Linked DNA regions of Lepisosteus oculatus. The protein of the gene in region 1 interacts with the protein of each later gene in a pairwise test. Links are inferred from orthologs where the notes say so. Each region holds a gene or a part of one and is shown in the gene's direction. Other genes may lie near its edges. The genes, in order: cep72 and pin4.

Region 1 (17,066 bases):
GTAGATGGCCTAGATGTTCTTAGACCATTCCAGTCTATCGTCGATGTGCACTCCCAGGTACTTGTACGAGTCCACCATCTCCACGCCACTCCCATGGGTGTAGATAGGAGTAGGTTTGACCCTTTTCCTCCTGAAATCTACCACCAGTTCCTTCGTCTTTGTAACATTCAATTGCAGGTGGTTCTCCCCACACCACTCCACAAAGCTGCTGACCAGTCCTCTGTACTCTTCCCCCTGCCCACCCCTGATACATCCCACAATTGCAAAGTCATCTGAGAACTTCTGCAGGTGGCATGACTTTGAGTTGTACTTAAAGTCCGAAGTATAGAGGGTGAAGAGGAACGGAGAAAGAACCATCCCCTGAGGAGCCCCTGTGTTACTTACTACCTGTTCAGACACAGATCTGAAGTCTCACAGACTGTGGTCTGCCTGTCAGATAGTCCTTTCAGAGTCCTTAATCCTTTGCGGTGTGCCTGTGTGTAGTCGTCTGCAGAGGTTTCTGTTCTCTAGTATAGAAGAGAATCTTTTCTTAGTTCGGAGTTATTGTTTGTTTTGCCGGTGAGAGGAACACATTCGGTTCTAACCTGCGGGCGTGTGGGGGTCTTAAAGCGCAGCCCTGATTAGCATCAGGTGTGGTAGCTACGCATTCCCACACACCGCGGAGTGGGGAGTGCAGCGGGAGGTGAGTTCCACTGTCACAAAAGCAAGATTATATTTTCAATTTATCCTTAAAAATCTTTATTTAACAGACAAGACTGTTTGGGAGCCATAAAACAAAATTCCAATTGCAGAGCCATTTAAGTAGTACAATCTGTGCTCCATTTTAAACTTGTCGCCATTTGAACTTGTCTTCTTCAAGTTTTAGAATGAGTAAGCTTTCTCTCTACTAATCAATTATTATTATTATTATTATTATTATTATTAATAATAATAATAATAATAATAATAATAATAATAATAATAATAATAATAATCTGTGCATTGCTTTGTATATTTTCTTTAAGGAGTTTCCCCTCAGAAAATTAAGGATAGGTTGTGCTGTAGATATAAATGAATACACTTTCACAGTAATTGTAAATCTCCCTGTACTGTTTAAATTAATAATGTTTAAATTAATAGTGCAATGTTGCTCAGAGGTGTGACCTCAGGAGTACACAGTAATGCTTCATTAAGGATATGAACCTGCTACATTCCAGTATCAATTACATACTTCTAACTACTACTCCATACTACATCATATACTATATTACTGTACATGCAGCAGATGCACTTCTATAGGACTGCAGTGTTTTTTTAAACTGTATATTTTAAGTGTTCTGTTTGCATTCTACTTTTCCACATACAAAATAAAAAGAGGTAAAGAACACAAACTTTGCAGAAATATTAAGAATTGTCATGTAATGTAACATTATGAGCCCACAAACAGAAAAGGTATTTTCAGTCTTCTTATCTTCTTGCGTGACCATAGGAGATGAAATTCAAAAGATGGTTTATTGTCAGTTGCGTGATTCATTGAGGACGTGCCCAGCTTTTAACCTCCTGAGGTCAAGTCAGGCCTCAGTAGGCAAACGCAAATGACAGAAGGAACAAAAAAAATGTGTTTACTGTAATAATACTGCATATTCTACCTAAAAGGGGATGCATGTGGTTTCCCTTTAAGAAAGTGTATTAAAAGTATTCACCAAAGTATAATTATCCTCATTGTGCAACAAACATTTTGTATAACGGATGTATATTGTTTTCAACACCAAAGAACTGATCTCTAAAACTCTAGATAGAGTTAGGATGGTTAGTGTGCAAACAGGATTCAATACTAAATCAACATTGAATATCTGACTCACATCTATACAAATTACTAGATCTTATCATACCATCTAAACAAATCAGAATCAAACAGTACAACGATGTTATTTTGTTTAAATGGAAACTATTAATGGTGAAATTAAATTATGTCAACAATAAGATAGCTGATGATAGGACAAGAAAGATCTTTCTTGTGTTGATTTTCATCCTGAAATATTGCACAAGTGCACCACTGCTTTTAATTCATGTTAAGCTCTACAGTAAATGTACAGGACTATTGTAAGTGTAAAACAACAGATCACAAATACAAAAGTGAAGTATGTATTTTTCAGGCTCAGCAGTATTCCTTTCCGACTGCCAACTTCTAAACATCACAATGGAAAAATACTCTGCAGGCTCATCTATGATTTAAATGATAAAAACAAATTTAGACACAATGAAGGCTGAATACAACTTGAAAGTCAATGTATATACATTTCCTAAATAATACAAAGGTCTTAATGTCAGATTCTTACTATTTGATCTAATGCTGCAGTAGTTATGCATTGTAGATATGTTTATGAACTTTCTCTCAAGTTACCTTTCATTGTATTTTTTTATTATTGAAAGTCTGGGTATGTTGTATTAAGTGCATAAAATGGTTTCTGTTACACCACTCAGTACTTTAAGTAGCTGAGTAAAAATCAGTTTTAATCCTACATGTGGATTCTGACCTCACACAGAGGCTTTGTGCCATTAGTTTCTCCCCCAAGCACATGTGTATTTTGTCATGATAAACTAGACAACAAGCCAACCAGGCAGTATGAGAAGAGACTGAGAAAGAAGGAAGAGACATGTTTCCTGGTAAACTATTAGAATGTTTTTAGTTATTTCTTCACAAAACAAATACAATGTTTTAACTAAAATTGGATATACTAAGTGTGATCTCAATATCTTAATTAGTAGCCCTAATATTAGATTTATTTAAAATTTACATTGCAACTGATCATGTACAGTATATGGCTACATTCTTTGGATTAACTTAAAAGGACCTGTGAAATCAAAGTTGTAAAGTATAATACTGAAAACAAAACTAAGTATGCTGTGAGTAGTCCAGATATGTTTTAGTACTAACATTATGCTAGGCTTTACAGGCTGTTTGTCAAGAATAGAACACTAATCTTTATTTTACTTTAAAATGACATAAATGAAAGAGCAGCTAATTATTTTTCTGTGTCACGAAAGGCTTACAACTGCTTGTTTATAAAATGACCTCAATCTTTCCCAACCTTAAAGGGATGAAAGAGATGAAAGAGATTGATGTGTTTTGAGAAATTCTGTGTTTTTGTGTAACAGTTTGGGAGCATTTGTTTGTCATGTCTATTGCATTACAGTTTGGCCACTAGAAAAAGTCCAATCAAACTATCTGAAAGTTTTACTTTAAAGTTTTTAAATCACTAAATATGGTTGCTTTTATCAATATATGGTACTAAATATCTTTATTAAAACAGGAAAACTTAATGAAGCTGAAGATGGATTTGTAAAAATGGCAAGTATCATCTTTATAAATTCACAAGGAATATCAACACCGAAAAAGGAGGTAATCACTGAGAATAACTCAACTGAATATTACTGTATTGATTTTTTTCTGCTGAGTAACCATTAGCCTGGAACACAGGATTCTCCAGGCATACAGAGCACACAAGGTAGTAGTTTCCAAGATGCATCATGGGCCTGCAGTATCATACTGATATCATTAAAAGTGTTTTACAGTAGGTTGGGGATATTCAAACAAAATTGTGAGCATTGCAGTTTTAGAGAAACATAATAGAAAACCTCTATTTGGCTCTCTCCTATGTCATTTATGGAAGATAAGGTGACACACAAATTATTGACGTTTTGCTCATCTCACTGTTCCACTGCTGTAATGAAATATTTTACTCATAATGACTAACACATTGAGCATACTTTAAAAACTCCAAGAGAGACTGCTTCAGAACCTCCGGTGGTCTGATAGTCTGCATTCTTTGTCACTATAGACCTTGACATACTGAATGAAAGAATTAGGAAGGATGCTTTCCCTTGGCAAATTGGAGAAAACAATTCATAGGAAAACAAGGAATTAATACAGGATGGGGAAGTTTATACAATAGGTGCTGGTTCAGTAAACATGGCTTGTTTCTCCTTCCTCATTCCTGCATTCAAGTTCAAGTCCTCATTCAAGTTCAAGTTCAAGTTCATGTAACAGAACACTCCTTTTTGGATTGCACTGTATTGTGTTGTTAAAACCCCTATCCAACACACAGCATAATAGATGGTACAGAAGAGAGATTGCACCCAGTGACAGAGGTTGACGATCGTGGGCCCTGGTACAAATACTTTTGGTTTCTCCCACTCCTCAGACTGTACTTCAAGCACCATAATAAAGTAAAATAGCGAAAACACTCTTTGCAGTCATGTCTTCTTCCTGTCTTTTTCCATAAAACTTTGCTTTGTAATTAGCATATTTAAATATCACAATCAATATATTTCGCATACAGCTGCAGTATAAGTGGTATAAATGCAATTGACTCATGAATGCTATAAGGAAATAATTATTTTCCAAAAGATATCATGTTTACCTCCCTATGTGTCATATTGTGCATTAAAAGTGGGTATCATTACAAAGATGTAGGGAGGCACTTACTGTAGATTCATGGTGTCCCATCCTTGGCCGGACACTGGTGTAAAATAGACTTTTCCCAGAAGTCACCGATTGACACCTATTTCCAAGATCCACTGACAAAAGTATTTTTCTAGGACACAGTCTTTCTGCAGAGAATGATTGAGAAAATCATACTGTCTGATCTAGAAAGAGAACAGTTCATTCCATTTCACATGTAACAATGGCCTATAAATGATCGTTGTGCACTGTGCTGGTTTGATTGCAATGGAATCTATCCAATTAAGATCCTGTTAATATCTTTTAAATACTAGAAGACAAAATTAACAAAATATGACTCAGCAAAAAAGGAGAGGGCACCCACCATACTGTACATTTAGAGCACGAGGATGGAACTGAAACATACAGTACATACTGTAAATGTGAGAACAATGTTGGACATGCACTGCTGTGTAAATGTCTTAGATGTTTTGCATGTTTTACTCTTCATACTTAGTGTTTTTCCTTAGAGGTAAGACTATGGAAGTATTTTAATGAAGTGATAACTATTGTGTTTTCTGATAATAAATAATCCTTATACAGCAAATATGTGTTTTGTTGTATAAAAACAGAATTTTAGATTCATGGAAGCATAGAGAGCAACAAATCAAGTTAATGATAAAGGGCACATACAATATACACATTCATATACAATTTACCTTGATTTGCTGTGATAGCGTTTTTTAATACGTTGTTCTACAGTATGTGAGTCATAGACTGCTAATTACCTATTCTCACCCAAACTAACCTATGTTTACTGAGACTCAACCTTGTTTGATTGGGACAATTGAAGAGTATGTTTTCTATTTTATCTAAGAGATTTAGTCTATATTTGTGCCTTTGAGGAAATATCCCGGAAGTTACTTTTGAGGGATATACCTTCCTGATTTGGACTTCTGAACACCCGACCACAAGCCAGCCATCAGAGTGATCTCAGTCACCCTCAACTCAAGACCTCCTGCTATGCACCTAATAAAAGAGAACTGTCTTTCACCGGTTTCCTTCACACAGATTTCAAAAGGGCAACTTCTGGTTAACCATGATATATTATGATTCTAAATGTCACAGACTCACCTACAGGCTGTGTCCCAGAATGACGGAAGTACAAAATTTATAAGACGGATCATATTACAGCAAGTGACTTGGAGAAATATGTTTTTCAAGATTTTCTTTCAGGAACGTCATTAATTGTCTTTAATCATAAACCTGGGTTGGGCAATCATGGGGGTTTTGAAGGTTTAGTGAACAAAAATAAACTGAACAGATAAATATAGACTTTGATTTTTACTCAATCCTGTGAAAATGGGTCTTTTAGAATATCAGTTCTGGGTTTTGACCCAACACTCAGCACAAACCTTTCCAACCATTGTGAAAATAGTAAGTGAAATGACACAAAGACTAAATACACATTTCAGAAGAGCACATTACTTAAAACCTTCTTGGTGCAGCCTTTTTGAAAAAAGAGATGCACTACAATGCTTTGTGAAGTGTATTGTGAGACGTCTGCGATGAACAAGTGACCGGAGCTATAAGAGTGAGCAAGATTTCCCGTGTTCAAGACCACTCAAGACAACCACATCAGTAGAAAGCCTTTCACAGAGCAGGTTTTATATTTTAACATTTTGGAAAAAGAAACACATTTTCAGAATCTTTACTTTTTCGTTACCATGTTTAGTTTAGGAATGTTCAATGCTGAGGAGAAAAATATTTCCTGTCATTTGAAATAAATACCTACAGTTAAATGTTAATAGTAAACTTCTTTCAATAGTTGCTGACTTACAGTACTTGCTTCTTTCTTCAGTTAGAAGTATGTCAATTAATAATCTAGCATTATTTTCCTTAATTAAACTTGACATCTTGGGATTACGTTGATCAATTTGAGGATGCAGGTTGTGAATGCTGAGAACAGAGACATTTACAATTGAAGAACTTCAAAATACAGTGCCTTTCCAATAGTTTGGTTATTACTCAGCGGATCTGGAATAAGGTGAAAATTGCCAGAACAGTGTTGAAACAAAACCACCAAGCATCATGCAAAGATTACAGAGAGATCTTATAGATCTTCCAGTAAGTGGGCAGACTTAACCTTTAACAATGACCTGAGGATATTCCATGAGAAAACATTAAAACAATAAGGTTACCTACTGTACAGTAAGTGCCTAAAAGTAAAATAAGAATCGGTGTCATGTGAAACTCCTTATGAATCTGCAATTACAGTACAAGTAATGTTAGCTGGAATTTAATGTCAAGACACATGATCCCTGCAATGGAGACAACTCTATCCATCATCACAAAGCCACTAATTCTTGGTAAGGGCTGTGGCAACCCAAAGTATACAGGAAACAGGAGCTCAATCACAAAGGGTGCCTCGTGCAGCTCTCATGGTAACAAATTTGAATACTTAACAAAAAAGAAAACACAATATACAAACTGCAGTGACAAATACTTAAAGCAAGGTGACACCATCTTGGAGTAAGAACACTGTCATTCAGGCCACAGGACAAACTCTCTTTTCGACTTTATTGTAAATAGAATAATAAGGGTACTTGAGTCTTTTAGTCCTTAAATCTTGGTAAAAGGATAATTTAGCAAATGTGATGTCCTATTATGAGTGCATATTCAACAGAGTCTTGACTACAGAAAGACTGGTATCTTAGATGTACATTTAGTTCTGAAATACACACTAACGAATTCCATGTTCTTTAGCTTAAAAGCAAATGAGACATAAGAACTGCAGCTCATTGTCTGATGTTAAACCCGTCAGTAACTGTACAGATGGACACTGTAATTCACTGTGATATCTTACAGCCAACATAGTTCAAATGTTACAAGATGATTTCCAAAGTAATAAGGAAGACTCCAACTTTACAAACTGCACCTTAATCAAAGTAAAATTGAACTGTATTTCTTTAGAGTGTAGTGTTGTGTCTTCAAAGTTCATTCTCGATTCTTGGGATAGGTCCAATCAAGAGGTCTCTTGAAAATAAAAAGAGATGTGAGAGTATGCAGGCACATTAACCATTGTCTGAAGAACAGTATTGATGAAAGAAGGAAACACAAGCATGGTGTGCTTTATTAATGAAGAGTCACTGTAAATGATCAACCAAAAAGCAAAAAAAAATCAGATATCAGAAATTTCATTCCAATTTCCTGATCCTTTCTAACATATCTGAGATTGAATTGTCCATGCTGCTTTGTAATGAATTTCCCTAATATTTAATCAATTTTATCTGAGTACACTGAGTTTATTTATCTTTAACAAAGTTATTTTAAACAATAACAGGAAAGGGATTTCTTCACTTGAAGTTGTAATTATTAACAAGCTCTTCTTTGCTTAACTTTCTTATTGATCGAAGCAAGAATAATTCAATAATAATTTGACAATTGTTTACTAAGTGCTGAACTAAAAAACATTCCCTGTTACCCATTGTTGGGGTTCTTTGCCTCACTGTTAAACCTGCCTTATGAGTTGTGTCAGTTAAATATCATATAATTGGATATAACCAGGATTTCTTGAATGACAGAGCTTCCGCAGAGGAGAGTACAGCTGTCAGTGATGCAGTAAGGTGATTCTATACGTTGAAAAGTTTTTTGGAGAGGAAATACCATTTTAGTTTCAGAAGCTCCTGATCTTTTAAAATCGATTGTAATGTGCCACAGTAAACTAATAAACTGAATATGAATATCTGTAGATTGTTAGTGCTCCATGTTAAGAGAAATGCTTTAAAAAGAGGAATATTTGTACATTAATCTAATTGTCCCATTTTGAGTGCAAAGTACTCTTCTTTTTCAGAAACTACAGAGCATCTAGTGTGCCCATTGCATCAATTAGACAAATTGTTTTCAGACACAAATGTCCATTTTACTGTGGATATTAAACATTATCTAACAACAATCTATTTATAGAGCTTTGAATGGGAATGAAACAATGTAAATGCAGCCCAGAAAGAAATATATTAGACCTGCTATGTTTGAGATATAGAACACTGAGTGCTAGAAAGTTAAATTATCTAAATACCTCTTCCTTTTTTGTTCTGGGAAATTACTGGCAGCAATCTCTGAAGTGAGAAAAACAGTCTTGAAACAACATTTCCATAGCTCCTAAATTGTGGTTTCATGTAAACTAAATACAGCCATCCATTTCGTTATTGCATTTAAATTCGAACTTCGAGAAGCCCAGAAAACTAGATGGACTGACGCATTTTAAATAAGTTAATGTCATCATTGTTTTAAAATATTGTGTGCATATTTACTTTTACACGCGTATAACCATTGCACGCTTCTCACATTTATCAGATGGGAAGAAGATACCGCCATGACATAACATTTTCGCGCTCCAACTTAAGTCGGTTAAGAACAAAGGTGTTCGGACGCCAGATGACCTGAGTGAAAAGCCGGCCGGGAAAAACAGGTTATTTCAAAAAGTAAGCGCGTCCTTTTTATTATTCAATATAGTGTTCACTTTCCATGCTGAATAAACTATGTTTATGTCAGCTCATAATTAAAAGGTTATTCTTCAGGCGTTTGTTAATATTCCAATATTTTCTGATATGAAATGAGTATCCATATGAAGTGGCAGCAGCAACAGCAAGATCTGATTTTTTTTTATTTCGATGTACTTGCTTTTCTGTAACCAATTACGAGGTTCTCAGAGTTATTGTGTGCATCTTCACCACTATTAAACAACAATAATCTCGCTGACACAAAACTGCTTTTTCTAGACTTCAGTCTTTTCAGTGGGATAAGTGGAGCTGCTGCAGCTAAACAGTGGCTCCTTCCGTCAGGGTGCAACGCGCATGCTCGCCCCGGTGAACCCCCCGACGTTTGAAAGGATGGCGGCGGACGGTCTGCTGATAACTGAGCAGTGGATACGAGAAAGGCTGCAGCTGCAGCACAGATGCTTGGGTAATCGCCACCGTCTCCCTGTGTCGCAACTGAAACGTGAAGAACACACACTCGAACGTTTTCCAAGCCTTTGCTAGGCTACTGCGTTGCGCTGCGAATTGTACGTTAGTTTCAAGCCCCGAAACGAAATTCTGTTGTTTCGGAGAGGTTGGATTGCTTGTTGTCTGCAGTCGTGCGTCAGGTGTACGGGTCCGTGTAGTTTGCTCTTCTTGTGCATCATAAAGCACGTTTCTTGGTTTCGATGCTGTCTTCTCTTACACAAAAGAACAGGGGCGCTCTTCTTTAAGGAGATATCAGTAAAAACCACATTGTCCTCGCGAAAATATTGAGTTTGTGTGGCTGACGCTTTAACTAGTGACTTACATTTGGATTTGGGTCACTTACTGTATACTGTAGCTGGGCATTTTAATGCTACAGTCTAAGGAAGCACTGTACGTAGGACTTCAACCTACATACAAATTGTAGAAGGATAGTTTGTCTGGGTACCAAACCATTAACCTGCTGTCGATTAAAAAGCCAACGTTTTACTGAACGAGCAAGGACAGACGTTTAATCTAGATGGGTTCCGAATATCAGATGAAAAGGCGCATTTTCGTTCAAAGAAAGACAATGCGTAGAAAAGCTCGATGTGTAACAACTGTGTACTATTTGAACTCGATGTATTTCTAACATTTTGCAAATCATGATCTTTTAAGAATAATCTTGACTACAAAGCATGTAACACTTCGCAAGTCCCAGCTCAACGTCCTGATCGTTTTTGAATGGGTACTAAATGACAAGTATTGTTTTTTAATTAGGACAGCATACAATCTTAAGTATCCGTTTTCATGAAGTTTCAACCCACTAAACAAAGCATTTTACCTTATTGTGGTAACGAGGAGAGGACTACAAAATTAATAGCTCATTGACGCAGTGTGATGGTTCTGTATATACTGTAAATGTGAAAAATGTTTTATTTTTGTTGTCTGTATCTAATGTGAGGTAAATGAAGATCCTCAAAAGTCTACTGTTTAGCTCCTCAGAGTCTGGGTTTGGGCAACTTTTAACAGAATTTTGTTAGGCTGTATGTTTGCTTTTTCTGTAACAAGTGAGCTTGTTTCTGCAATCATTATACCAATGTACACATTACTAGAAAGCATATTCCTGGGATCCCAGTATCATGACATCCCAGTACCGTGGACTGGACAGGACACAAGTACATACCGTATACTGGGCACACACAAGCACACAGTTACTATTGAAAGACTGCAATTATTACATATTTCCAAAAAACTTTCAAATGTGTTTTCCTTTTCTTTAAAAGATAAACTTCCCCCACTACTATTAGAAAAATAAAATACCCAGGAAATTTTCTTTCTCACATAGTTTTGCAACTCCTAAAAGCAGTACTACTTTTTATAGTGCGTTGGGTTTATGTACTGTAACCTTTACATCCCCTTGTCCAAGAAAGCTAACTAGATTTTCAAATGGCTACTACATTCTTGTTCAGTCAAGGTGTGTTACATGACATCCATGATTGTATGATATGTGAAAAGTTAATTGCTGTATCTTTAATATAAGCTTTTCTTTTTAAGTTTTTTCTTACACAAGTCTAATATAGAATTTCTTTGCTTCCAGCGGATGTCAGATCACTGTCTCTTCCAGGGTCCTATGACGTGAAGATCGCCCATGTGGGAAACTCTCTAAAGAACTTTGTTCATTTAAAGAATCTCGACCTTTCTCGGAATGCGCTGGTCTCGATAGAGGTGAATGGAAGCTAATGTTTGTCCAACTATGGCTTTATAATATAGTGCAGGGTGTCCTGTCGTGGTCCTGGAGGTTCGTGTCTGCAGGTCTTCGCTCCATCTTGGCTCTTAATCATCTCTTTATTGGCTTCTTAATTTTAATCAATTTAACAGCTTCGCTGGGCTCTTCAGATGTTTCAGGAGAGCTACAGAACCCTGTCACACTGGCCCTCCATTGCTATGAACGGGCACCTCTGATTCAGCTTATTAAAAGGAAGAAGAATATAAACTCCAGTGAATACAGATTAAGTACTTACAAGGGTATATTTGCATTAGATCAGTGGGTTAAAAACTGAATATAGATCAAGTCCCCATCTAGATCTCTGTTTCAGGTTACAGAGATAAATTCCCTTTTCCCTTTTTGGTGCAAAAGGCAGTTACAGTACATCTTAAAGTATTTAACCACCTGCATTGTGTTGAAAAAAACGACAAAAATCTTACGCATTATTGAATGTCAAGCTATAAGTAGTAACTAAGTGACATATCAAGGTCCTACGTGTTGATATAAACTTGAGTTCATCATAAGATTTAGAGAACAATCGGCTCATTTCTTGACAGATCACAGACTAATCTGCATCTGTCCAAAGTTTGCTAAAAGTATTATTTTTGGTTTGCTTTCTAGGAAATATCTTCTTATAAACATAATAGCAGTCAGATGATATGATTAGATGAATTACTCAGCATCAGTGGGTAGAGTATGAAGATAAGAAAATTATTTTGGGCATGTGTTCTGCTCATCATGTGTGAATCACAAACCTGTAAGCAGAAGTATGAAATACGTCTTCTTCCTGGAGTAGAAATCACTTTACAGGAATGAAAGATTTACAGGGTACCTGCCCCAACTTTGTCAAGACGCTTCTGCTTTCAAAGTACAAACAGCAGTATGCTGAGTGTCCCGATTCTGCTGTAGGGAAAGAGGAACTCTGAAGAACTTTGCTCAAGAATACAACATTTGTGTCCCACCCAGGATTTGAACACATAAATCTCAGGTCAAGAGTTCAGAGCCTTAACCACTACTCACTGATCGTAATGGGCAGCAACTCAAGCCAGCAAATTCAAAGAAATAGGTGGCTCTCTTATCTTTCCTCCCCCAGTCTTGCAAGCTGTGTCTGCTTCCAGAGTGTACTGTATGTTAGGTGTAAGTTATTGTAGGTCTATGTAGTAAGTAATGTTAGGTGATGCCTAGGAATTTAATACAAAACAAGCAGATAAAATACATCTGAACAAGTGTCTAAGACAGCTCCAGTAAGCTTCCTTAAAAAACAGTGCAATGTTTAGAAAGGTTGTTAGAAGGCTATATATATATTATTTTGCTCTGCTCTTTTGCCCACACTGCAGTGGCCTGTTCCAGTCTAACCCCAGTGCTGTAGTTCACATGAGCGAATGAGATGTTAGCAGATCAGTCAATCCTGTACTGTGTTCTGGAGGTCAGGGCCATTCTTCTCCATCTCACCTAGAGCCTATTTAGCACAGGTTTCTGTGGTTCTAAGATGCAAACCAAGTGGATTTTCACTCTCCTTCTTGGAAGGGTCTGGTGGTGTTCTGCCATGTTGACATTCCAACAGCAGATTAATCGCAGTGTCGCAGCTGTGAAAGAAAAATAAACTTTCAGATGTGCTGCTTCACCACTGAAAAGGAGACATTTATAGGTCATTTCAAAGACGTGGTTTGTTCATGTTTTTCTGCAGGGGATACAACACTTAAAGAAGCTTGAAAAGCTTAACCTCTATTACAACTGCATACCTTCCTTGAAAGCCATCTTTACCCTCCGGAAGCTGACTGCATTGAAGGAGCTGGATCTCCGGCTCAACCCTGTGACAAAAAATGACCCAGATTATCGTCTCTACATTGTTCATATGTTGCCCAACCTTAGAAAACTGGGTAAGTGTTTTGACCAATCACTACTGTCACTTGCAAGAGTAATTAATATCATATCACCAGTGCTTGATTTCTTTTCAGAGTTGTGTGTTTATCCTATAACAATGGCTAATACTGTAGGTGTTTATCCTATTAGCCATTGTTAGACTCTGTTGTCTTTTTCTAGACTATTTTACAAACTGTTAACATTTTTAAAATTACTAGCGTATATGCTGTGTTTAACTTTTACAGTGTCACGGCTTCAGCATATAGTCAAATTAGATGTGCAGATAACAGATATGTTACTGTACACCTACAGTAAGTTTAACAATTGAATCTATTTCAGTTATTTAGAACCTTCTTGCAATGTGAGTGGTGATTCACCTTTCTCTTTTAAAAGCCTTGTGAATCTATGACAGATTTGATTTCTCCTTTGTTTGATGCCTTGATTTTTCCTCATTCTGTTTTACTATTGCATTGGGCTGTTATTCCCCTAGATGATCACCCTGTGAGGGACAGCGAACGCAAAGCTGCTGTCATGCATTTTACTTCAGAGCAAGCTTTTGAACACCAGCACGGTTCTTCATCTTCCTCAGAGTCCAGTGTGCAGAGGTGCAATACTTACCTCTTCGCCTCACTAACCTTGCTGCATGTGTGCTGTATGTGCACAGTGTTTGATAATATCTCTTCTGGTACAGGTCCGGTCTTAAGAGGGCATCCTCTGTAAGGCTCTTCTGTAAAAAACGCTCTGTCCTTGATGAAGATGACGAAGCAGTGCTAAACCTTGTTGCCAAGAGTAACTGGGACTTGAGTAAACCTGCCGGCCTGACGGGTTCCACTAAGAAAGTCCCAGAAGTCGAGCTTTATCGCTTACGGGGTAAGATGTCTAATTAAGAAGTGGACATGTACAGATTTAGCCATCTAAACCAACTGGTCACCTCCTTTGATTTTGGATGAATGACCCGTATGAAAATGAAAGGGAAACTTAATCAGTGTGATTACACAGTAACGCAGAAATTAATTTTTGTGTTTGTGTTCTCATGAATGAGTTCAATCTGGTTTCACCTTTAGCAACTGAGCAGTGTTAATACATTGGTGTCCACACCTCCCTTTTCAGTACCGAGGGGAAAAAAAGAAGAAGAATTTAATATATTTTCTTACATGTTATAGATGAATGTAGTATTTAATAACAGTATTTAACAGAGGTAGGCATACCAGTGCATTCATGCAACACGTTTGCCCTGCAGCTTTGATCTGTGATCATTTAAATGTAATATGCTAAAACCACAGCTCAAAGCCATCCTTACATTCAGCAAACACAGTACTGGTTTTAACATTTTATTTCTTGAATACAGATAAACTAGGCTACCAGTCAAAAAAGCCACTTGAAAAGTGATAATGCTAATTCCACTCAGTCTGTGTTGCCAGTGAAAGCTACAACTGTGGATTGTGCTGTGGGGGAACTACTTCCCCTCTGGTTTTGCACATCATTTGTCCCACCTGGACGTTCTGGAGACATCTCACACCATTCCTTTTCTACCTGCCTGTTCTTCACACATTTGTGGTGAAGACTCAACAGTTCTCTGACAGTGCTTTTCGGTGCTTTTTGTGGCTCTAGTCATCTGTACAGTCAGTCACGTGTTGCAAGGCGTGGTAGCGTCTGAACTCAAGACAGAGCAGAACGGCACCTCTGAGGGGCAGGCTGGACCTGTCTGGCAGTTGCAGAGTCCAAGATCTGATCCCATACAGATTTAGAGTGAAAGCAGTGCTTTATATTTTGGATTTCAGGAGTTTGGGTTCAAAAAAGATTTGTTGAGCCTCTTAAGTATTAAATATTAAAATTAAGTATTTATTTCCTCCCACAACTAGGTCACTGACTTGACAAATGCTCATTGCGATATCCTTTAACCCAAGGGACACCTAAAGGGAAAATCTTCCAGTTTTTACAAGAGACAGATCCTTGTAAACAGGATCTGCCATCATACTAATACATGAAATGTGTATTTCAAACAAACAAATTAAAATTGTATGTATATCCTGTACATTCAGCAAAGTTATTGCAGTTTTTGCAATTGGAAAAAAATGCAGTTTTGTGGCATTTAATTAAATTAACAGTGTTTCTGCACCATCTGCTGATGGGAAAGTGGAAGCATTATTCTATTTTTTTTTTTTAAATGAGATTTTAAACCTGTATTGCTTAAACTTTTTTTTTCCATTTTGAAGCAGCTGTAATTGTAACCTGAGTAGAAGTTTGGAGATCAGCATGATTGGGAATAATTTTAACCTAGAGTCCTTAACCAATTTTACATTGGCTTACATTAAGTCTTTAATTACACCATTGTTTCATATAATTGCCTTTTGTACTTTTCTGTACAAATAATTAACTGCTTCTTCTGAGAGCTTCTCTTTTAGGATTTGAAAAGATGTTTTGTTGTTCCAGGTTACCATGGGCAAGATACCCATTATTCGAATGGCTGTCATCCTTCTGAAGAAAGTACCATGTTAAAACAGGTGAACACCCACTGAACAAACATTCCCACACATATTCCTGTTCCTTTATTATGTTTAGATTTGTAATAAGATATATCACGCATTGCTGCCTTGCAGCTCTGGAGGTCAGGACTTAATTCCTGGGTGCTATCTGCTTGAGGCTTATATAGTCTCCCAGTGTTTGGGTTTTTGCTAGGTGCTTCAATTTCCTCCCACAGTCCAAAGATATAATGGTGGGTTCATTGGCTTTTGTAAAATTGGCTGTGATCTGAGTGTTTATGTCTTGCAAAGGACTGGTGTCCTGTCTAAGATGTATCCTGCCTTGTGCCTATTGCTTGCTCCTCCATGACCCTGTATTGGATTCAGCAGTTTGAAATGCAGTTTGGTACTTTGTAAAGCTGTTCAGGTGTTTTACATTGATTTTGAGGTAGTCGCTTTTCCTGGTCAGTCCACTGTGTGGTGAATGAGAAAATTAAGTCGTAGTACACAGAAAAATGTTTGTTACTCCATAATTAAAAAAAAATGGCACAGAAAAGGATGCACATTTAATTCCGTTTTATCAGCATACTCTGTTTCTCTGCATATAGTATAAATCCTTTGCCTTTTACTAAAGATTTCCGTGGAGAGGAGCACGTATGAGTTCCATTAATATTCACTTGTATTTCTTGAGACGGAACATGAAAAAACCTTTTTGTTTTCATCTTCTGTTTCAACACGTTCTGTACAGGTTGTTTCCAAATCATTAACAACTTTTTAATGGCAGCTTTACATTCTTGAGTGTTCTTTTGATCTTAATAATAATACTACTAAGTTGCACTAGAAGTATTCTGATTACTTGGACTGATGTGTTAACTTTTGCCATTCAGGATTCACCAACATCAATCCTCAGAAAGCAACCGGAAATGAAAGAAAGTGAGTCCTCATTACTCTTCTTTTCCTAATAACATTCCCCATAAGCATAGGTGTAGAAATGCATATAGAAACTGCATATACTTTAAGAATGTTTATTATATTTTTTTAAAGTGTATTTCTACGTTTGCATGTTTATATTATAATCTTATAATCTTAAATAGTCCACTTTTCAAAAGAAACATAGTCACACGTTTTCCTCACAAACAGGAAGATAACAAATAATAGGTTATTCATTAACTCATGCTAATCCACATTCTGGCAAAATAAAAAGCATTATTTTATTTACTACCAAACTGAAATGGCTTTATAAGGCAGCTAACGTTCTGAACAAACTAAAATTAAGTTACTAATATACTGTACCTTGATCCACTAATAAGTACTTTTTCTAAGGAAATGAAATGTGCTGCTTTCTCTTTCATTCCAAATAAATTTGTGATAAAATGCTGTTTTAAATGCAGTTCACTTTCAAAGGAGATTCTGGACATCTCTGATGCTTGCAGTTATTGTCAAACTTGTCTGTTATACTGTATATTCACATTTCCTGTTTCTGCTGGCCATGTAACTGTGATCCTTTGACATTTGTCACAGGCTTTATCTTAGCTGCCTAGGATGGATTGCACATCACTAACAGAACA
Region 2 (17,364 bases), on another chromosome or scaffold:
TTGGGGAGGCAGAGGAAACATTTCATTTATTTGGCGGGATATGTGATATTAGTTGACCGAATAGCCGCGTTGAGCCAGGTTTCTTAAGAATACAGTGAAGCAGTGATTTCAGAATCATTGTTCTTTACAGTATATTCACCACCATTTACTCTGTTGTTTTGAGTGACATAGGCTGGGTTAACTTCATGACGAGAGGTAAAATTTGGTTGATTTCAAATCTTAAAAGGCTTGATGTGTTCCAAGCCAGAGTTCTAATTTAATGTCACTTGTTGTTCTTGCATGTCTCTGCATTTGTGCACAAGGGGGGATGTTTCTGATCAGACCCCGACCCAGTTTAGAGAAATGCACTCAGCCTGCTGTCTGGTGCTCTTGTCTGTTTCAGGGGGTGTGGCGTGTGTGCTGAGTGGGCAGCCTTTTGACACGGTGAAGGTGAAGATGCAGACCTTTCCAACAATGTATCGGGGTTTTGTGGACTGTTCGCTGAGAACCTACCGGCAGGATGGGCTGCACGGGCTGTATCAGGGCACGATGCCTGCGCTACTGGCAAACGTGGCCGAGAACGCTGTCCTTTTTGCCTGTTATGGGTTCTGTCAACAGCTCACTAGGCGGCTGTTTGGACTGGAGAGCGTATCCAAGCTCAGGTGAGGGCTGGAAATCAAATAATGCTTCTAGAAGTACTGTTGACTGATGTCATTGGAACATATTTGATATTTTTGCATAACTTGTGTAACAATGATGGACGTCTTCTCTTTAAGAGATTTGCTGTTCTATATTAAAATGAAGAACCTTGATAAAATGATAAGGCAGTCTTCAGGAAATACAGTGTGCTTATTTTAATGTGGCTAGACTTGGACAAATTATTATTATATCACTGTTATTTGTGGGTAGTCAAGAATGAGGCGCAGTGGGTTCCCAATGCAATTTTTGTTTCTCTCTTCTGTTTAAGAGAGAAAGCTGCACTTTTCCTGGGATGTCGGGATATCTCTGTGCCCTTGTCGTTAAACTGTTATCTTCTGCACTCTTTAGTGTGCCTCTCTGAAGATGGGGGGCAGGGGAGGGGAAGGAAATATCAGTTTGCTACAGAATCATAAGACTTCTACCACTCCTTCATGTTCTTCTATCATTGGGATGGATGTGAACTTAGTGTGCAGTCTAAATGATTTAAAATTGATTTTTTTTTTAATTTCACTGAGGTGGGCTCCTGTGTTTACATTCCTTTCTCTGAAAATGGGAAAGGTTAGTCTTTTGTTGTCTGTGTCTGAGTAGTTGAAGTCTATATGAGTGACTTGTAAGACTATGCACTTAGCAGCTCCTGTGGTGATCTCTGTTCCTTCCAGTGACCTGCAGAATGCCACGGCGGGCTCAATCGCCTCTGTCTTCTCCTCTCTAGTGCTGTGTCCCACAGAGCTGGTGAAGTGCCGGATGCAGGCTCTCCATGAAATGAAAGTGGCCGGCAAAACCTCTTTGGCATATCGGGTGTAAGCAACTCTTCAGCTGATCACATTTTATCATATGTTGCCGTTTAGGGAAGAAGGAGGGTGAAAATCGTACAGTTTCCAAATATATTAGACCAATTGGACCCATGCTAGTAATTTTCACACTGAAAACAATGGGTAGAGGTTATTGCTATTGGTTGATGGCTCCAGTGTCCTGGGTTAGAATGGGGCTCTGTGTGTGTGGATTTTGCTTGGGTTTTCTGAGTGCTCCAGTTTTCTCCTACAGTTTAAACACTATCCTGGTTGATTGGTGTTTCTAAAGTGTGAACTGCGTGTGTCTGAGAAAATGGGTGTGTGTCCTTCAATGGACCGGGGCCTTTTGCCTTTTACCATGAGCCCCGAGGACCCAATTCACTGTCTAAAGGATAAAGAGGAAAACAAAAATGCATGTACAAATATAATATGCTTTCCGGATGGTCTCTTCTCCTACATATTCATTTTGTTTTGTACCCTTATCGCTTAAAGTACAATTCCACTGTGTTAAGGCTATTGGTTTCACTGTGCTCTTGCTTAGCTTTGTGCCACTTGTAAAGCTCTGTATCTCCCAAGTTGGGCTGTGGGACTCTTACTCAGCCATACCCTGGCTTCTTTTTAAGACATGATTGAATGAAACAGGGCTAAATGGGACAAAAGTCCTCCTCTCTTTTTCAGTCTTTTTGTTCAATGTGTATTTAGAAAACCAAACACCCATGTTTATAGTTTAACAGAAGGTACAGGCATTTAAAGCTGTGGTTCGTTGGCTTTTAAACGTATATTTGAGGTCAATATTTATAGGATCATCCTGAGAGTTATAATGCCAGCTTTTGAGTAAGCATTAACTGTAGATTTATGTGACATGTTAAATACCTTTAAAATAAAACTGGGCAGTGGAAGTACTCCCAGTTTACTGTAAACTTCCATCATCCTGCTATCGGATTGTGGCCGCTATTAATATGATTCTGTCAGACAGATGTGGGTTTTACCCACTGTTTTATCTTATTTCAGACCAACAGTGTATGCGTATTTATGATGGAGTCACTATTTTCAGTCCTCCCTCCCTCCCCGTCACATTCTTCCATAGATGTTTCAGTAGGATAAAGATCGGGGAACTTGCAAGAGCCACACAGATTTATCCTAGACTGTTTTTTTTTTTCCAGATTTTTAAGGGGATCATGATCACGATATCGCATAACTTTCAAATTAAACCCAAACCCCTCCATTTTATTAGCATTGGTCAAACCACTGCAGTGACATCAGTAGCATGCTGGAAAGTGCCTTCTCTAGACTCTGAGCATTTTTACCTTTCAGTCATTGAAAGCTGCACCTCCATTATGTGAAAAAGCAAATGGCATAGGAAATTGACATGAACGTGAAACGGGGTGGTTCCTGTCTTTCTTCTTCAGGGCAGGTCTGAGGTGTTCATCTTTCTCTTCTGTGTCCCAGCTCTGCCTGGTCTATAGTGAGGGACATCATGAAGACTGATGGACCCCAGGGCTTGTTTCAGGGGCTAACAAGCACTTGGCTGAGGGAGGTGCCCGGTTATTTCTTCTTCTTTGGAGGATATGAAATAAGCAGGACCTTTTTCACTAAGCCGGGAATGTCAAAGGATGAGTTGGGTGAGGCTGGACTACTAGTCTTGGAAATGAATGATCATCTCTTCAGCTGGAGATTTTTAATGAGTGTAAAAGCTATTGTGGCTTGCAGGGGTTAGGGAAACGGAGGGGAGAACACTTTCATAACAGATCAGAATACAAAGTGAAAATATGCTGACGGTGTACAAACACGCACACATCTCGTATGTCTGTCCTCGAGTTCCTCCTTTCAGATTTAGCTTTGAGGTGAAGCCTTCGATTGGGGATTTCCGCTGGGGAGATGTATATGGCACAAACTGTCAAGAGCCCTTTTTAAAATGCACTTCACCAAAATCCAGTTTATAATCCATTTCAAGAAAATTCTAGTTTTTTTTCTGGGGATTATTATCTTGTACTGTAATTCTTATTGGTAGGATAAATTTATAAATAGAAATGATTGCCTGTGAAAACGGGCTGTCAGTGGATTTTATTTTAAAGAGAAATTCACTTATCTCTTGCAGCTGAAAGGCAGGCAAGCCATGAAGACAGAGGGGAGTAAAGAAAGACTTTACTAAATGAAGCAAGTAGGGTCCCATTTAGCAAACCTGGATTGGATTACTTTGCCTTACAGAAACCGCCTTAAAATATATAAAATTAGATTTGCAAGACTTGTTTAGAGCTGAGATCTCAAACTCCTTTCCTGGAGGGTTCCAGTGCATTGTAGCTTTCTTTCCACCTGAGCTTTGTTACTTATTTGGTTTAATTGCTTGATGAATTGGATAATTATATAGCTCTTTTCCAGGCCTACAGGGCTTTAAAGACACTATACCTGGAAATAATTGCATGAATCAAGCGACTGTTGGTGGGGGAATTAAATGCAGTACACTTTGATTCATCTAGATGGAGAAAATAATTAAATTTGTCCTTAATTAAATTGAGAACACAAACTACAAAATTAAAAACAAAAGACATTGTGGCCCTCTAGGAACTGAGGTGGAGACCTCCTGGTTTAGAGAAGTAATCAATGGTATTTTTTATAGGTCTTAGTAGTTGTAAAATTAAGACACATTGGTCAAACTATACAGAACCATTTTAATAAAAAACCCACTTGGGCCTGTATTACTCAATGAAGCATCCAGGATGTAAATTAGGGAGTCTCTACAAGCAGGTTTAAAATTTTATTTTTTTAATGTAGTAAAATGAGGAGTTTGTTTTTTTATTTTTTATGCTGTCCTCTTAAGGTAAATTCCTGGGAAATGTTAACATAAATATGGCCCACGGTATTAATGAGTGGGTTGCCCCGTGTGGCTCATGGCGAAGTCTCACTGCCCCTCTGCCCTCCTCCATACAGATGCAGCACTGCTGGTTGTGAGTGGAGGCATTGGGGGGGCATTCTTCTGGCTTGCGGTTTATCCCATTGACTCAGTGAAGTCCAGAATCCAGGTTCTGTCCATGAGTGGCAAGCAGGCTGGGTTCCTCGTGTCCTTTATCAACATCCTTAGAACTGAAGGTAAGAAATATTGAGCTGCCTTGGGCAGACTTTGCTTGTTCCTCGCTAGCAGGCTTGAGTTGGTCAATAGCAGAGGACTACGGGGTACCGTGTCACATGGCAGCCCAGGGGGAGAGCCTCTGAGCTTTTTGTGGTCTAGGGAAGGTGATCCAGTCTATAGCTCACTCTCCTTCCTCTGGTCTTTCCACCTATATGGAACTGGAACCTGGTGAGGCAAGAATCTGCTTGTACTGTTTAATGGGCTGCTCAATGGCAGCATTTACATTCATTGCTTGAAATGGCTTTAAATGGCAGTTGTTAGCACTGGGGCCCTGGGTTCAATTCTGGACCTGTGATCCTATCTGCATGGTGTTTGTATGTTGTATGTTCTCCCTGTGTTCACGTGAGTTTCCACTGGTTGCTCTGGTTTCACAGTCAGACGTATTGGTACAAGTAGGTTTGTTGTCTATGGGGAAAACTGGTCCTTGTATAAATACAGTATGTGCATGACTGTTTGTGTCTGGCTGTCCTGCGATGGACTGACATCCTCTCCAGATTGTGTCCTTTGCTTGCCGGGATTGGTTCTGGCTCCCCTGCGACCCCGTAGTGGATGAAGCGCTTTGAAAATAGCATAAAAAGTTAATCTATCCAAAGGCTACTGTCAAGAGCTGCAGAGCCCTTGGTCAAGTCCAGCAGGTTTCTTGCATAATCATGAGATACTTTGTTGTACAACTAAAAAACACAAAGTGGTAAAGAAATTGTTGAAATATACAAATCACTGTACTCTAAACCGCAATCAGTAGCTGAATGTTCATTGTTATGAAATGTTTATGATGTACAACTCACTGTCTCAGGGAGGCTTCCTAAGGATAACATCCTGGTTTCTGATTTTTCCCTCTCCTGTCCTCTGGTAAGTGTAATAGGATCATAAAGGCACGTTCAGAGACCGCTTCTTCAAGCAATCTCTCAGATTTATGGAATTCTACCTCTACCACTGGCTCACACTGATGTGCACTTTTAAGTTGTATGTTATTTACGTTTGTTGTTTTTGCTGCTGCTGCTGCTGTTCTGTGTTTAAGTTTAGTGTTTCCTTAATGCCTTTTAGTTGGAACATGCATGAAAAATAAACTGAACTGATTACCTGACAGAGCACATTCAAAACTTTCTGAGTGCTTTGTTCTTAGGTGAGTTGTAGGGTGATAACCAGCAGCCCTATCACCCTGCAACTCGCAACCAGCAACGCACTGAAGCTAAGCAGGTGTGAGCCTGGTCAGTACCTGGATGGGAGACCTCCTGGGAAAAACTAAGGTTGCTGCTGGAAGAGGTGTTAGTGGGGCCAGCAGGGGGCGCTCACCCTGCGGTCTATGTGGGTCCTAATGCCCCAGTATAGAGAAAGGGGCACTAAACTGTAAAAAGGCACTGTCCTTCGGATGAGATGTTAAACTGAGGTCCTGACTCTCTGTGGTCATTTAAGATCCCAGGGTGTTTCTCGAAAAGAGTCCTGGCCAAATTTCCCAGTGGTGTTTACCAGTCATGGTCTCCTAATAAGCCCCATCTATGAATTGGCTTCATTACTCTGTTCTCCTGGCATTGTGTCTCCTCCCGAATGAGAGCTGATATGTGGTGAGTGTACTGGTGCACTATGTCTGCCGTTGCATCAGAGGTGGATGCTACACATTGGTGGTGGAGGGGAGTCCCCATTACCTGTAAAGCATTTTGAGTTACCTTTTATAAGCAATTTATTAATAACAATTCTTCTTCTTCAGGTGTTACAGCCTTGTACTGTGGACTGACCCCCACTGTAGTGCGAGCATTCCCTTCCAATGGAGCCCTTTTCCTTGCTTATGAACTGACCAGAAGAGCCCTGAGTGACAAAGTAGCTGCTATCTGAACACATGCCTGGTTTGAACTGTTTTAATTACATCTGCTGTCATATCAAAATGTTTCTGCACAAAAAAGTATTTTAACACTTTTATTGTAAACTTTGTAAATTTTGAAATGTCTGTGTTATTCTATGCCTTGTTAACTGTATTATTGATGTTTTGTAAAATTTTACCCTTTTTCAGGCACTATTAGAATCCTAAAAGGTATAAGAATTTAATTGGGGTATTTGATTTTGATTAAGATTTGTGGAGCCACAGTTTTCACATTCACTTTAATAAGAGGCAGGAGCAGAATTTCATGGTGCTGTGCTCAATTTGTTTTTGTTTGAATGCAACAAGGCTTTAACACTTCATTTCTGTAAAAAAATGTCTTTTAACCTAGCCGTGTACTATTACAAAAGTGTTTTACACAAAAAATAAAGTTTTTAATTTAATTTTGTGACTCTTTCTATTTCCTCGCTGATTTATTGAACTGCATCATTATGTTCTGGATTTTGTTCAAAAAATAATTTTTATAACCATATATAGGATTTTTCTTTTACAGTTTATTACTCAAAACATTCACTTTGTTAAAGGCACAGTTACCTATAAAGCGCCTCAAAGCTGGGTTAGAATTTTTACAGTTAAGTAATTAGACCAGCTGTCTAACAAACTATGAATGCACACAGACAGATTTAGAAACATTTATGAACTAAACAAGAGAACTATGGTAACCAGAGAACACCCATGTAGCTGTAAGGAGAACATGCAAACTCCACATAATGTGCTCAGGCCAGAATTATTTATAAAACTGACTAGCAGTTCTTGAATTAATTTTGTTTAATGGTTAAAACTGTAATCATGTAATCATTTGAACAGCTTTCTCTGAAGTGTTATGGAAAATGAACTGAATATACAGCTTTAACAACAAAGTTCCTAACTTTGGTTTCACTTCACATTGTATACAAACCATTGGTTTTAAGTTTGCCGCTTGACATTTTACAGTATGTGGTTTTTGAGGGCAGGATAAATATCATGTGCCCTAGTTTTTTCCACAGTGGGATGACCTGCTATCATCAAAAACCATCATCGCCAATTTTATAATTAAGTTTTATGGAAAGAACACCAATTAATGAAACCAAAGATAAAGAAATACAGTTTTCAATGGTAGTCTTTGACTAAAAAGAGACATCTTCAGATATTGATTTAATCCGGTCAGTTACGAAAGCTCAGGTTACTTAATAAATATTTTTCATTTTTAAATTGTTGAACAATGCTTCAAAGAATACTGCTTTAAAATCCCATCTTCCTTAATTCTTTTCAGCAAATATTTTTTGTTATTTTATTAGATCACTAACAATAAGTGAAGGAATTATTCTGGCCTTGGATTTGATGGTTTGCTTAGTAAACATTGGCTGTTGTGCCATAGGCATGATTTAAGTTTACACACCCTGTTGGAGCTATTTCAACCAGAAAGTCCTCACCTTTGTTTTTAGGAACCATTTTAAAATGTCTTTTCAACATTGTCCTTTTAGCCTGAGCCAGGTTTGCCTTATAATTGAAAAACACAGCTGTCGTTGTGTTAAAATAATTTATCAACTTCTATATGCAGTGAAGGGATCGGGGCTGAGGTAGATCACACTCGGCAAGAACATTTATATAGATGACTTTGAAAGTAATGAAGGGCAACAGAGCCAAGGAATTGGGAAGACTAGACTATCCCACGCTATAAATTCCTGAGGTCTCCTTCAGTTAAATTGGAGAGACTGTCATTAGAACACACACAACATGTAGACTTCAGCACACTCACCCTAGTATCTATAAACGAGAATGACCCTGAAGGGAAAGAACACAACATACAGAGCGGAGAAAGTGTCAGTGTTTTAGACAGCCAGGGCATTCAGGCTGGACAGAGATCACATTGCTGTGGTCAGTGTGGGAAGAAATTTAGTCAGTCAGGCAGCATTAAAATACACCAGTGAATTCACACAGGAGAGACCATATTGCTGAATTCATTGTAAGAAGAGGCTCACTCACTTAGAACAATTTAAAAACCTTCTGCGTATTCACAAAGGAGAAAGACCATGTTTGTGTAACCAGTGTGGCAAAAGCTTCAGTCGATAAGAAGGTTTAAGAACACACAAGCGAATTCACACAGGGGAGAGACCATACAGCTGCAGTCAGTCGAGACAACTGAAATACCGCCAGCAGATTCACAGAGAAGAAAGAGTATACTGCTACCGTCAATGTGGGAAGGGTTTTTTGTTGTCAAATGACTTGAAAAAGCACCAGCACACACACTCTGGAGGGATGTACTGTTGCAGTCAGTGTGGGAGAAAATTCATTTGAATGGAAAATTTAAAAGTTCACCCACAAACTCACAAAGGACAGGGCTCATACTGCTGCAATCAGTGTGGAGAGACATTTGGTCAGTCAGTACATTTAAAAGCACATAACCAAGGAAAGAGAAAATGAACGTGCACAAAGTGTGGGAAACGTTTTAGAAACTAAAGCAAACTGAAGAATAACTAGTACTATCAGTGGTGATAGTGGAGACTCTGTAGCACTGTCACCAAGTCGTGTGATATCGGAGACAGATTATTTTTGCTATAACAGATACAAGCCTATTTTATGATTATTTAAATTAATTTTTATTTATATTCTGAATTTATTAATTTATTCATATATACATTTCTTAACCTGTGTTCTTAGAAAGCATGTTGCATCTGTGCAGTATTATTAACATTTCTCATCAGATTGAAGCCTGTCCTTAACCTAGGAGGTGACAATGAATTCTGTCTACCTGTCAGTTAAACTGCAGGTCTCTCCATTCTGCAGCATGCCATGGTGCTCAGCTCAATGGTGCTAATAAACCATTGAACACTTGCTCAAACCTGTGGATATTTCTTATCCATGTGATTGTGTACCTTCACAAAACAAATAATTGCAGTTTTTTCGTAGGTATATTTTTATTACTAGGCAATTTGTCCTTAACTACAATTGATGTTTTAAATTGTGCACATTCATTTACAGTATAATTGCAGTAAATTTACTATCTAAATAAATGCTTGCTTTGAGAATAAATAATTTTTTATGTGAAATAGATTTTACGACTACCGTGCTTCATTCATTGAAATTCCATTAATTACACAAAGCACACACGAATAGAGCAACTCGCAGGCGTTTTCAAACCTCCTGGCTAGGTGGCGCTAGTGTGATGAGGATTATATCTGGGTACATACACACCTCTGTAGGCTTTCACTCTTTGGTTGTTGTGTCGCTGCTTTACTGCTCCGGCGCAGGAATTCTAGCGATGCTGTGCGACTTGTCGCGATTTATTGACGTTTTTTCCTGCTGGGCTCACGCTGATTAACCTGGGCAGAACTGTTGCAGTCTGCAGACTTCTGTAAGTCTGCGTGTTATGAGCCTTGTTTTTATTTTAAATATTTGAAAGTTTTTCGAATTGAAAAAAAAAAACGGACAATGCCGCCGAAACAGGGAAAGGCTGGCAAGGGAGGAAAAGGTAAACAAAGTTGTTGATTTATTATTTTTATTTAATCCACACGGCATTATTAGCAAGAGACTACTAGTTGGGGGCTGCTGCAGTCGAGGAGGTCCGTTACATTTTAAATGAAATGTTGGTTACTCGCGTTTTTTTTTGTCAGGTATTTTAAACATTTGAATTTAATGTGATTTAAACTGTTCTTAATCTATGCATACACCCCGTTTGCTAAATCCCTAGTTTACAGTGTCCACATGTGAAAATACGTTATATGTGTGTCTCCAGCAAAACGTATGTAACTGTATTTTTCCCCGAAATATTATTCTCGGGAACTACATAATACTGTGTACTGTATTTAGATCACATGGTCTGACTGATCATTTCTGTGCTTATACTACTCAAATCTAAGTACATACAAACTTGACACGGATGTGGCTGTCTCTGCGCTCTCCAATACCTGGATGACTCAAACGTAAAGTACGACAGGACTGACGTAATGCTTCTTGCCGCCTTCTATTACCTATGTAAAGCCACTGCAGGAACCCCATCTGTGGATGGCACTGTACTTGAATTTCAGTCTAAGTTGAAGAACGTCGGGGTGATATTTATTCCCGACTTGACGTTTGATCCACATTTGCAACATATTTAAAAAACATCAAACATATCAGAAATATCACCAGGCTATGTCCTGTATTGTCCCTCGCTGTAGCTGAAAAGCTTGTCAACACATTCGTCTTCTGTAGCATTGATTACTGTATCTAAATCCACACTGAACAAACCTCAGAATGTCCAGAATTCGTCAGTCGGAATGCTGACCACGTCATATGCAAGTGGTCACGTTAATCTGGTCCTGATGTCCTTGTACTAGTGGCTTCCTACTGTATAAGGTTTTGTGTCAACTCATGCTCAAAGGCTCTACATGACTTGGCCCCTCAGTACCTGTCTGAATTATCATCATCATCATCGCAACCTTTCTTCATCTGACTCTGGGTGTCATACGGGTGACAGGGCCTTCTCTTGCTATGCCTCTGAGCTCTGGAAATCTGTCCCCCAGGATATCAGAGAATCATCTTTCCCGAGCGCTTTCAAATCCAGACTCAAAACCTTCTTCAGAAGGGCTTTTATTTAATTGATGTCCGTGTCGGCCCCTTTGTATCTTCTACTGCATTCTAAACCTTTCTCTTTCTTTGTGCTAATTTTGGGATCTCCTGTCTTTGGGACCTCACATGGTCTCTCAACACTACCTGTCTGATCAAGAAAGCACAACAGCGCCTGTACTTCCTAAGACGGTTGAAGAAGGCTAAGATATGTCCCCAGATCCTCACTAACTTTTACAGATGCACTACAGAAAGCACACTGACAGGCTGCATCACAGTGTGGTATGGCAACTGCAGTGCTGCTGACCGCAAAGCCCTACAGCGGGTGGTGAAAACTGCCCAGTCCATCACTGGGGTTACCCTCCCATCTATCCAGGACATTTATGACAGACGGTGCTTGAGGAAAGCTCTAAGCATAATCAAAGACCCCACACACCCCAGGTACAGACTTTATGATCCTCTACCATCTGGAAAACGGTACCGGAGCATTCGGGCCCGGACTACCAGACTCAGAGACAGTTTTTACCCCCGCACTATCAAACTGTTAAATTCCCAGCCTCTCTCACTCTCACTCTCACCTCACCTCTCACCTATGATCTGAACCTCAACAGTGCCTTCTTCCTTTCTTTCTTACCAAAAACCCAAACACACATTGAAAATCTACCTCTACCATACATGTCAAAAGCACACTCCCCATAATTTCTATCCCTTTATTTTATTCTGTTGATGCATATTTTTGCACATAACCTGTTAACTTTTTGTTGTTTTGCACATTGCCTGTTGTTGTTTTTTGCACATTGCCTGTTGTTGGTTTTTGCACACTGCCTGTTGTCTCTGTCTTTCTTTTGCAACACAATTGTATTGTTGTTGTTTTTTTTTCTCTTTGTACTACTTATGTCCGAGAGCTAGCTAAATAGCATTTCGTTATACCATATACCATGTATATGAGTATAATGACAATAAACTTGAACTTGAACTTTGTTACTGTTTTTGTTGTTTTAACTCTTTTCTGTACTTTTCCTGTAAAAAATCACTGTGAGAAGATGCCTTTAAAGTGCTATATAAATAGTTGTTTTTTTTACCACTGTATCTGTGCTGGTGTCTTTCTGCCATGTTTAGGAGCTGGCGCTTCTGGAGGTGGTGACTCTGAGAAAAAAGAAAAGCCGCAAAAAGGGGGAAATGCAGTTAAGGTACAGTGGCACCGTTGAACTTTGTGTCAGACATTTGTAAAGTTTTTCATCTCCAGTGGGGCATTAAAATGGACTATTATAACTCGGTGTTTACCTCCCTAGCGTCAAATTGCCAAAAAGCATCCAACTTTGTTAACAATGGAATGCTTCAAGAATAATCTTATGATTATGAAATCTTGTGCAACGTTGAATAAATATGTTACGAAACACTTCATGGGATCTTGTGATAGTGTTTTCAGATGTTTGTATTGGGAAAGCCGATTGGCAGTATAATACCAAAAAGAATTCCCTTTCTGTACTTTTCTAAAGTTTACTGTAGTTTGCATGTTGATCCCCTCTCTCACACACACACACTTATAATTTATTTCAGGTCCGACATATTCTTTGTGAAAAACACAGCAAATCAATGGAGGCCATGGAAAAACTGAAGTCTGGGGTGCGGTTCAGTGAAGTCGCCTCACAATACAGTGAAGACAAAGCGAGACAAGGAGTAAGTGAGAAATGCATCTAGATGAGACGGGCTAAAACAAATGACAGATTAGAATACCTGTAGACAGCAACAGAGTTCCAGATTTTCAAGTTTCAGATTTTTTTTGTACCTGAGTACAATTAAATGCTTACTTTATGTGTGTTTCCACACATAACAGATGGCATCTGAAATTGTTGGAGACCAGAACATAAAAAAAAGCATGTACGCCAAAAAGATAGTGGAAAGCTGCAGTGTAAAATACCAGTAGCAGCCGTATACATGAGAAAAGTAACAACTGTAATTTTCAGCAGCATTCAATTAGTAGTAATATGCAAAAAACAGGTAGTGACAGTGTTGTGAGTTCAGTCCAAAAATAAAGGGGTATAAATGGGAAGTAGGAGAATTAAGGGGTGGTATTAAGAAATCTTATGGCCGAGAAAGACGTTTTCTTTAAAACTTGAGGTTTGGGCTTTTATACTCCTCAATCTTTTGCCACAAGATAGAAGAAATGGCATGCCCAGGGTGGTGTTGATCTTTAATTCTATTATCTGCCATTCTGAGGCAGTGTGTACTGAAGATGGGATGAATGGAGAGGAGTTCCATTCTGTAGCTTTTTTATGGTTGTGTTCTGACCAATTACCATAACAAACTGTAATGCATCTGGTGAACATGCTTTCTCTGTTGTACATTTGTGAGTGATTGTGAAGACATACCAAATCTCCGGAGTTGTCTAAGGAAATAGAGGTGCTGGTGTGCTTTTGTGATTACTTCGTCTGTGTCACGGGACCAAGTCAGATTATTGATGAAGTGAATGCCCAAAAACTTGATGCTGCTGACCATCTCCAAAGCAGCTGTGTTTATATAGTGTGGCCTCCTCTCTGCTTGCCTAACCTAAGAGGATAGAATGCCCTTAGATTATAATAGTATAGAAAGAACAGCACATAGATTATAATCCCTAACTGAAATAATAAAATCACACATACCTTTGCTACTATATGTGAAAGTACCAAATTAATAAATAGTTTTGCAGTCCATGAACATTATATTTAGTAATTTGTTTTATCCCAACCCCTTCTGCACAAAAAAAGTAAGCATGACTAATTAAAGGCTTTATTCACTGCACTTTTTGTAACTGGTCTTTTATTAGTCATTGCCTCTCACCGCCACTATAAGAGTCTAATGCTAACTTCCCTTCAGTGCATGGGAGATGTTAATTTTTTTAAATTAATGTATTGAACATGGCTAATTTAATATGAACCAGATTCGGTACGTTCAAGTCACTTCTCAGAAGTGGGCCAATTCCACCATACACTCTAAAGAAAGAAAGGTGAAGTCAGTTAAATTGAATGGTTCTCAAATTTTGGAACAGTATCTTATTTAGGGTGAAAAACATGTAGATGTAGGAGACCAAGCCATTTCTTCACTGTGGATGAGTAATGGGTGAAATGTTTGGAAGAACCGTAGTGTCAGGTGTTGTGCTGAAATTTGTGTACTGTGAATTTAAGAATCAATATTGAAGCTTTTCATATCCAGTTCTCACTCCAAAAATAATTTCCATTGTGAGCTCTGTTTATTTACAGTGTGGCAGCATTCTCAATACTGGCTGTTCAGATGTGCAATAACCAGCTCTTAGTTTCTTATCCCTTTAGTTGCCTCATTGAAAATGTCTTTGCTTACCTAATATACCTGTACACAACAGTCTGGTAAAAATCATCTTGTAAATTATTATTGGTGAAATTGCAAAAGGAAACAAAAACTGAAAAAAGAAAGCCGTTTTACAAACTACAGATTAAAAAAGTCATACTGATCCCTTTTTGTTGTGAGGATGAAGCAGAGTCTTCACAGAATTCGCTTGGTCTTTCCTATTGATGGGGTTGTATGAGCAGTAAATGTGCAGAGCACATGATGGAATTGAGACTCCCATATACACTAGTAAAAGCTGAATAGACATTGTCCCATTTACATATAGATAAGTGATGTTGTAAATACTGGTTTTTATTCACACTTTTGGTCACTGGATGGTGTATTTTCTCAATTTTATTATCTTCTCAATTGTATACAGTACTACAGTATTTTAGTGTTAAATTTACATGAATAAAAATCTCGTATATTATGGTAAATTATGAATAGCAGTAGCCATTAACATTGTTTCAACGTCTCTATACCTTAGAATCGCTTTCACATAATGTTATGGACACAGTTTATGTTGCTCCTGTATAATTTACATATTCTTGTTTTTTCTTTGTTACATTTTTGGTAGGTACAGTATAATCATGGTCCTGTGTTTGCAGTGCAGATTACTGACAGTTTTCTAAGTTGAGCTTTTTGGTTAGGAATTCTGTCCAGTTGTACAATAAATGCTGAGCTGGTCTTTCCTCTGGGTGTGACAGGGGGACTTGGGCTGGATGACCAGAGGCTCTATGGTTGGGCCTTTTCAAGATGCAGCTTTTGCCCTGCCGGTCAGCACCATGGACAAGCCTGTGTACACAGATCCGCCAGTGAAGACCAAGTTTGGGTATCACATCATCATGGTGGAGGGCAAGAAATAATGCTTCAGGATTTGAAGAATCAAGCTGGGCATCATCCCCTTGTTTTTTAAAACATTATTTATTTTTGGGAGAGGAGTTCAGAACTCATAGAGATACTGCTTGTTTGATGTAGAAATCTTAATACCATCATAAAACTCTCAAGAAGTGGTTACATGCAAGCATCACGATGAGGAAAACGTTCATAGCTGTTAAAAAACACAATCTGCTTTGATTTCATATGCAATTGTAAAACACTTTGGATACATAAAGAAAATGAGTGTGGGTAGGGATTGATTTGGAAAATAAAATCCCAGTAAATTCACTGCTCTTTTCTTGTACCAGATTGATTTTGAATGGGAAAAGGTGACTGTGTTCTTTGTGCATAAAATGGGAGGACTTTTGTGACAAATAAAAATAGTTTTGCACTGCATTTCATATAACAGTAAAAAAAAACAGCTTGTGTAGATTTTCCATGACTTTCTTCGTCCTGTTAAGAAACAACTCCTGGAATGTTTGGGGAAATTTTTTTATATCTATTTTGTATAGTGCTCTCCTTGATGTCTTGAGAGGGCAGCAAGATCAAAACTTGTTTTTGCTTTAGAGTCAAACAGTTTTTTTTTTTACCTTGGGATTAAAATGAAAGAAAAGTACAATGTATGTTTTATTATTGGGTAATTCCATGCATATATTTGATTTATTGGAACAAATACATATGATACCTCAGTTCTGGGGGACCATAAGTAGTGTATGGAGACACATTCACTTTAAGTAAAATTTAGAGTGAAGGTCAGTATTGGATTGCATATTCGTGTTAGTACTTCATTACGAGCAACATCACTTATAACATGTTTAATTATCTTTTATAGTAACATAGAAAAATCAGACATTAGAGGCTACATTTTGATATGATATGACTACATATTCATATTCTGTATTAGTTCTTATGAAATCTGCCTTTTAAGATATTTGAGTATTTTATTAAAGTTATTACTTCTTGGGAACTTTAAAACCTGTTCTGACTTTTTTTGTCAACAACAATATTTTTTTTGTTTTAATGTATCTTTATTGGGATTTTTGCAACAGTAATCTTTTTAAATAAAACATGGACCAGATATATAATATGGTCTAATATATAAATCACTACTTTTTATGGTGTAATGATAGTTTGTGGTGTAATGATAGTTTCCAAGAGAAACATTACTTAATATTGTGCATTAAAGAGAGGCTATTAAATAGTTTTTGTTTTACTACATACTACTTATGCGACGTGCATACTATGGAGGTACGTATTCATAAAGATAAAAGGGAAAGCAGATGTGTCTAACATAATTAATAATTGCTTACACTTATATAGTGCTTTTTCTGGACACTCCACTCAAAGCGCTTTACAGGTAATGGAGACTCCCCTCCACCACCACCACCACCAATGTGCAGCATCCACCTGGATGATGCGATGGCAGCCATAGTGCACCAGAACGCTCACCACACACCAGCTATCAGTGGGGAGGAGAGCAGAGTCAAAGATGTGGATTATTAGGAGGCCATGATTGATAAATCCAATTGGAAATTTGAACAGGGTTACACCCCTACTCTTTTCAAGAAACCCCTGGGATTTTTAATGACCACAAAGAGTCAGGACCTCGGTTTTACATCTCAGCCGAAGGACGGTGTCTGTTTACAGTATAGTGTCCCCGTCACTATACTGGGGCATTAGGACCCACATGGACCACAGGGTGAGCACCCCCTGCTGGCCCCACTAACACCTCTTCCAGCAGCAGCCGTAGTTTTTCCCAGGAGGTCTCCCATCCACGTACTGACCAGGCTCACACTGCTGAGCTTCAGTGGGTTACTAGTTGTGAGTTGCAGAGTGTTAAGGCTGCTGGCTAAACTTAAGCTCCTTATGTGAATTACATAATGGAGGAAGAAATCGAGTTTACGCTTCATACAAAAATGAGCTTCGTCTGATTTTATGGGAGCTCTTGTCTGCTGCATTCTGGCAAACATACGGTTAACTGTGCGTTTGTACCAAGTTTCTCTGCCTTTCATGGATCTGGGTCACTTGCAGAAATAAAGAGATTTTCGTTAATCTTTTAACGTCGTTTTATATTTTATAAGCGCGTGAAGAGAAACAGTTTAGTGAGAGATGAAAAATGAGGTGCAAAAATCCGAGAGCTCTTTTCA

Evidence for each region.
Region 2: the proteins of cep72 (region 1) and pin4 interact in binary tests that used the Homo sapiens proteins (3 or more experiments, as listed by UniProt). The two-hybrid records come from large-scale screens. The link is inferred for Lepisosteus oculatus from reciprocal best matches to the Homo sapiens genes CEP72 and PIN4.

What each region holds. Positions count from the first base shown.
Region 1 is NC_090705.1:17,236,296-17,253,361, reverse strand, and holds the start of cep72 (centrosomal protein of 72 kDa), read left to right. Parts: upstream 1-8,812; 5' UTR 8,813-8,907; intron 8,908-9,204; 5' UTR 9,205-9,279; coding exon 9,280-9,388; intron 9,389-11,005; coding exon 11,006-11,133; intron 11,134-12,860; coding exon 12,861-13,053; intron 13,054-13,526; coding exon 13,527-13,641; intron 13,642-13,727; coding exon 13,728-13,906; intron 13,907-15,469; coding exon 15,470-15,540; intron 15,541-16,083; exon of another isoform or gene 16,084-16,193; intron 16,194-16,385; coding exon 16,386-16,431; intron 16,432-17,066. UniProt on the Homo sapiens protein: Involved in the recruitment of key centrosomal proteins to the centrosome.
Region 2 is NC_090703.1:41,080,863-41,098,226, forward strand, and holds pin4 (peptidyl-prolyl cis-trans isomerase NIMA-interacting 4), read left to right. Parts: upstream 1-9,713; 5' UTR 9,714-9,880; coding exon 9,881-9,920; intron 9,921-12,115; coding exon 12,116-12,186; intron 12,187-12,556; coding exon 12,557-12,676; intron 12,677-15,045; coding exon 15,046-15,204; 3' UTR 15,205-15,505; downstream 15,506-17,364. Other genes in the region: mitochondrial ornithine transporter 1-like, read left to right, coding at 383-641, 1,338-1,478, 2,919-3,091, 4,398-4,556, 6,302-6,426.